Linked DNA regions of Arabidopsis thaliana. The protein of the gene in region 2 interacts with the protein of the main gene of each other region in a pairwise test. Each region holds a gene or a part of one and is shown on either strand. Other genes may lie near its edges.

Region 1 (3,756 bases), on a different chromosome or scaffold from region 2:
AAGCCTCTTTTTGGCTATGTTCTTATACTCCTACAGTGGTGAAACACGTATAAACAGGGTGAGAGAGAGAGACGAGAGACCAAAACGATGAGGAAGTGATGGAATAAAGAGAAACAGTAAGCGTGAAATGAACCAAGGTATAAGATCCTCACAAAGTAAAGAAGAGCACATGCTGCAGAGGATATGATGTACAATGAGAGACAATGAACCCAGAGCCTGGAAATAAAAATAGTAAAACAAGGATCAGCACTTCATTGTACAAAATACTGGCAATCTATCTTCTCCTGCACAGAGAAACATAATCAGATAGAAAAACAGGCTATGCATATTATCTGATAATATTAATATTATATGCCGCCACTTTACCATCGTGAGCGTGGATTAAGGTTCTCAATTGTGAATACTCCCAATGACTCCAAATGGACTTCCTTGTGCTCCATCTTTTGTCCATAATAGTTAACAGGTAACACAAAGGCAAGGCAAACGACTGCGACGATTGAGAAAATACGAATGCTGCAGAGTTTAAAAAAAACACGATAACCCAACTGTGAGAGTTGTTAAGAACGAAACACACAAATACCACATAGAAATAAAACAAGTGCTGGAACATAGAAACAGTAGAAAATACCATGCTTGTCTATTCAATTACAGTAAGCATGTTATAGGTGAAGTATCATTAACCTGCAAATGACCATCCTGATGAAAACCACAGCATCCAGACCAGCAGCAGCCAACATCTCTTCCTCAGTGGTTTCCCAAGCTTTCACGAGCCAACTAGGAGAGGGCGCGAACCTCTCATACCAACGAGGATCATGACGTTTAACTCTTCCGTCAGAAAGCAATCGACCAAAGTAAACACAATAATTGGCTGGCTGCTTTCGTAGAATGGAATAAAGCGATACAAGCACTACGCATATCGCTATATTAATCCCAGCAGACGTTAAAAGTGCTGAGACATCCATCTCACTATCTCACTTTTAGTTCAAACCCTGCCTTAACAGGGTTGGCTAATCAAGCCCAGGCTGATGGCTGTTTAACAATTCACAGCAGAAACTTAGGTCGTCAAAAGATCTGTAAGGAAAAGCAAGAAATAATCTAGGATAAGAGATATGGCCATGAAGCATGTGGTAACATTGAAACATGAATTGTGGTTACTCTAACAAGTAAGGACTGATCTCAAAAGTTGCATAAGTAACGTACTTGCCACTTGATCAGTTGTAAAACAGCGATTACTTAGACAAGGGATGAAAAAACTAAAAACCTAAAACTTTCCATGTTCGGAACAACCAAAGATACGGGATCAAAATATAATCAACTCTTAAAAGTTGTGGCTGATGATAAGATAATGTAACTCAATCGTCATTTATGATTGAACTAAAACGACCCACGATTCCATAGAACCTAAGAAAACCAGAACACCAAAAACAGAGGAATCAAAGGATTTGATTCGCGAAGAGAACTCACTACGACAATGGAAACAAGAAAGCGAGCGAAACCAAAGCCCAGATTATGAAATTCGATCAAAATCGAAGAGGAGATTGAGGAGAATCAACAAACAACGAGATCGTAGATAATTCGAACAAAAAATTTACCCACAAAAGAAAAGACAAAACAATAATTTGAACAATTCTGACTTACATGGACGAGAAAAGGTAATGCTTTGCTTTGACTTGAAAGGAATCAAAGCACGAGAAAACCCGAAGAATCAAAAACCCTAAAAGTTCTTCCTTTTAACCCCAATTCCGCGGAGAATTCGCTCGCGTTCTAAACTTTGCAATATGCAAAAAATCCAACAAAATTAAAGAAAGATAATGATTGATTAGGTATACTGTATACACATTACATGTTATTATTTTGGTGAGGATATTTCTCTAGACGGAAAGATAACTGAAAAAAATCATTGGGCAAAATTCTCCACGTTGGTGTAAATGTGGAATCGCCAGATCATGTGACGTGGCATAACGTGAATGGCCCAAACTAATATCTCGTCGGCAAAGGTCTTTTTAGCCTGTGATAGTGACTACCTTGTCGGCGAAATTATGACCGTTAGATTTTTGTAAAGCGATACGATTGTGACACGTGGAATTAACATTGACAGTTAACAACAGTTTTTGCCCGGGAAAATTAAAAAAGGTCGCATATCTATTATCCGCGTGGTGAGAGTGTGAGACCTACCCCATAACAAGGACCGGTCATATTAAATTATGCCCATTTGACTATTCATTCTCTTTATTATGTATGACTATATAATAACTCGATTCTCTTTATTAGGTGTGACTATGAATTATGATACATGCTTTATGATGCGGTATGCATATAACTGGTTTAGCATCTTTACATAATTATCGGTTTGATATTCCCAACGGTCAGTATCTTTATTCAAAGCTCATAAGAAATAGGTAAAAGAGTGATAGGTTTCCTCTTTCCAGTTTATTTGTGAGATTACTTGCTTATAAAGCAAATAAGCCTCTCTGTATATTCATCAACAAGGACTAGTCTGCAATCACAAGTAAAAACAACGCTGCTCGAGGACGGAATCGCTGCCCCACGATGTGGTAGAGTGCATCCTAGAGAGACTTGCTGTGGATTCTCTGCTGAGATTCAAAGGCCGTGTCTAAACAATGGAAATCAATTATCGAATCTCCATTCTTCCAACAAAGACAGTTGACAGAGCGTCAGCAATCAGGTGATCCAGATGTTCTCATGGTCTCCATATGGCGTTCCCTTTGATAGCTGTGACGGTCTCGTTTGTCTCATGGTCTCCATATGGCGTGACGATTATTGTAAACCGGATATAAAACATCTAACTACACTGGTGTTGGGTTCCTCATCATCGGTCAAGATCCCTACTCCTTGGGAGAAGGCGAAGGAGGACACAATATACTTAGTTCCCTTTGATAGCTGTGACGGTCTCGTTTGTCTCTACGGAATACGACATATCTGGTTTTGGAAGCTTATATAACCTTCATTCATTTTTTTAATAGGTTTGGTTACACCACTCGAAGACTCGTGTAACACTTGATGACAGAGATTTCTCGGCCAACTTCTTCATTAATCAACTCATTAAGCTATATCGGCGAAAATAGAAAAAAAAAAAAAAAAAAAAAAAAAAAAAAACAATTCAAACAGATCCTGAGACATGGTTTGACACCAATTTATGGAGGGTCTTCAGACATTCACCAAATGATGCAGAAGCGAGGGTCTCTCTTGAGCAATTGTGTTCAGTACACACTTCACTTTCTCTGTTCCAAGCTTCTCCTCGAGCATTCTCCACAGTACTGGAATGCTCTGCTTATAAACGAATGCATATCAGAAATCAAAGTCAACCATATTTCTATCGTTCTGCTATACGGAAAACTCCCAATCTATTTTTCTGCACTTGTGAGATTGACAATAGTGGCAATTTTTTTGATGACTTTATTTGGACAAGAAGAGACCACTGTTACCTTTGTCAGCCATAGCGTGTAGACAGCAGCATGCAATGCTTGAGCTTGAAAATCTTCAAATTTGGTATCCGGAACGGTCATAGAAGAATCTAGAAGACGGATCTCATTATCAATGAAGATGGCAATTTCTTCATTCATAATAATACTCTCTCCGGTTTCAGGTGAAGCATCTGAATGATTGCAAGCGAAATACATTATCCAATTAAGAGAGAGGAACCGCCGGTGAAGCCATAGTGCCTGGAAGAAAAAAGTATAACAACTCAAATAAGTCACTAATTCAATCATCTCTGTATTAGCATGACAACAAACT
Region 2 (2,847 bases):
GATGCCTCCGCAGCTGATTGCAAAGAAGATGAGACTTGGCAATTGGAACAAGAAAGGTTGAAGCTGATCGAAGAGACTGATGCTCTGAGGAAACAGCTCTTAGACAAGGACGAAGAGAAGAGAGAGGTCATCAGACAGCTTTCTCTAACCCTTGAGACCCTCAAAGACGAGAACTTGAGCCTCAAGAGACGCCTTGCCCACCATTCTCTCAAGCAACGCACCGTTTTGGAGTTCAAGCCACTAAACAAGTTCTTTGGGAAGCTGTTTTACATTATGTGCGATGGCAACAAGGTCCTTTAGGTTGGCTCATCTACCTCATGAGCTTAGCTTCGATATTTTCTGTGGTTCATTTCACTGTTTATCAAGATATATCCTGTCCTTTCCGTGCTGTATTATAACCGGTAATTATCCTACTTAATAATGCATGCTGTTCTGATTTGTTCAATCACAAGAACCCAGTTTCAGACAAGGACATGTGATGAGTGATACATAATTGGATGATCAATCAATTTTGACTTTGAGGCACAAAAAACACACACTATCACTGCTACCAAGTACAACAACTGCGCACTAGCCCAAACTGCAGAGTGCTTTATGAGCAAATCTCACACGAACGAACACTAGAAGAAGCTATATTAATATTACATGAAAAAAATTCAGAAGAAGCAGAGAGTAAGAAAGAATACATTTGTGAATATTTGGTTTCTGCTGATGATATTGTGTAGAGTGCTGCTTACTCGCTGTTTCTATATGATTACTAGAAGAAACTGCAGAAAGCTAGTAGCAACATGAGTAGGACAAGAAGCAGAGATGAGAGTTGTGATGAGACCAAACAAACAGAGGAAGAAGCTGGAAGAGGAGATCCAACTGGAGAAACTTCGAGCAGAGGATCAGGAGTGACAGCATCTGGGTTTGGTGGACTAAGGCTTGAGGGGATTGTCGGCATGATAGACGATTCCGACGGGGAAGGAGACATTTCGCTTGAACCTGGAGTAGGGAACAGGGGAGAGGTATCTGGAGACATGGCCGGGGTAGAAGCTGAGAAACTCGATGGAGCTTCAGGCAAGAACGAAGGTGCAGCTGATATGGTGGACAGCTGAAACTCAGATGTTGAAGTGTGTAAACAGAGTGAGAGAACGGTGAAGGCAGTGAACAGAGAGACGGACATGGTTACTGTGAATGTCTCTCCTGCTTCTCTGAGAATGTTTCTGAGAGACCTTAAGAAACTGAAGAAGAAAAAGGTATACAGCTATAGAGGAGGTAAAAGACAAGATTGGTGGGTTTGGTTGTGGACCTCTGGCTTAGGGCAGAGCACATGAAATATGGATTTGTCGGGTTTTGATTTGTGTCGGAGTGTTTGTATGTTTTGATTTTGTGAATAAAAAGTTATTAAAAAAGCAAAGTAGAGTCCCGTGAAGCTCTTCCCTCAAATATAGAAATGAGTGCCAGCTTTTAACTTGCTATGCTTTTTCCTGATCTGCAACAATCTTAGGTTTATTGTCAGTTGATGAAGACAATAGAATTGGTAAAAAGGAAGCACCGATTCACTGATATATATATATATATATATATATATATATATATATATTACAGTCACAGAAGACATTGCTGCATTTCATTTTCTCATAGAAAATCAGACACTGAATAATTTGTTGACTTTTGTCGAGATTCTGGCAATGCTTTTAGCAGTATACATTCATCTGAACACAATGGCCGAGCATTCTCATGGCCAACTTTCTATTAAACTCAATCCATAGAGGTTTGAATAAAGAAGAAAGAATTCACTAAACTTTGAGTTTGAGCAGCACAAGACCTTATGAATGAGGATGAAGCTGAAAGCTTTCCCATATGTTCGGGGAAGCTGTATGAGCTTTCAGTGGTTTCCATCTGCGGACGCCTTTTCGAATATTTTATGCCCACACCAGTCCATCAAAGCCGATTTCCAGATTTGACACAGGGCTGTCTCCAATACCTTGGTCAAGCGCTTGGGTGTCATCTATTGGATCAACATATGGCTCGAGCAGATCAGCGGATCTTTCCGAGGGAATTCCATAATCTTTGAGGATGCACAAGGAAGCAGAATTTGAAGCTTCCCTCTCCAACACAGCAACATAGTTGTCTTCGAACTCAAAAACTAGATACTTATCTTTGCACATATCAATGAGATGTGCCAAGTGATGGATGTTTCTTATTGGAATTCCATTGAACTTCAGGACCTGCTGGTTATTCATGTCCTCATAGCCGATGTTTACTTCATTTGCCAATACCTATAGATATGCTCGTCGAGTGAGTTAGTTATTAAATTATTGTTGCACTCACCAAAATGCACATTGAATTAAGAACTCATTATCCTCCGAGGGATTACCTGTGATAGGATGACGATTTGTTCTCCTCTGAACCTTGCCACAGAGTAGCGTGCCTTTGTTAACAATTTCAACTGCAAATCGGAAGGAAAAACTAAACTGTTATAGTGGATTCACAAATTAAACTAAGAGACAGTTTAGTAGAGTGAGCTTACGCCTATGGTATCCTCACACTCCTCCCTGGTTATACATTTAAAAAAAGGAGGAAACAGTTAGGCATTTGGGAAATAATGAAGAAGGTTTCGGTTTACTTTTGCATCTTAGCAAGCCGAGAAGAACATACTCTATCAGGGGTTCTGAGAGCGGAGTAAACACCAAACCAGCAACTATAATGTATGATGGCTGACCTCCATCAATATGGTACGGTACCTATTTAAAAGCAACAAAGTATTGGTAATTAGCTTACAAGGCATGATGCGCAAAAGGCTTAAAATGGTACATGCAGAGAGTTGTACCAGGTGCACTCGTGGCCTTAGAACTACTT

The links. The genes of interacting proteins can lie anywhere in the genome.
Region 1: the proteins of AGP26 (region 2) and AT1G10090 interact in a protein complementation assay, tested with the Arabidopsis thaliana proteins (one large-scale study listed by BioGRID).

Annotation. Positions count from the first base shown.
Region 1 is NC_003070.9:3,294,310-3,298,065, forward strand, and holds the start of AT1G10090 (Early-responsive to dehydration stress protein (ERD4)), read right to left. Parts: upstream 1,890-3,756; 5' UTR 1,639-1,889; intron 1,072-1,638; 5' UTR 963-1,071; coding exon 682-962; intron 514-681; coding exon 367-513; intron 217-366; coding exon 153-216; intron 31-152; coding exon 1-30. Other genes in the region: AT1G10095 (Protein prenylyltransferase superfamily protein), read right to left, coding at 3,169-3,288, 3,447-3,683. UniProt on the Arabidopsis thaliana protein: Acts as an osmosensitive calcium-permeable cation channel.
Region 2 is NC_003071.7:19,616,462-19,619,308, forward strand, and holds AGP26 (arabinogalactan protein 26), read right to left. Parts: upstream 1,169-2,847; coding exon 758-1,168; 3' UTR 514-757; downstream 1-513. Other genes in the region: NET3C (Kinase interacting (KIP1-like) family protein), read left to right, coding at 1-300; AT2G47935 (uncharacterized protein), read left to right, coding at 789-1,088, 1,128-1,260, 1,594-1,757; DEG2 (DEGP protease 2), read right to left, coding at 1,911-2,267, 2,366-2,437, 2,519-2,543, 2,647-2,732, 2,819-2,847. UniProt on the Arabidopsis thaliana protein: Proteoglycan that seems to be implicated in diverse developmental roles such as differentiation, cell-cell recognition, embryogenesis and programmed cell death.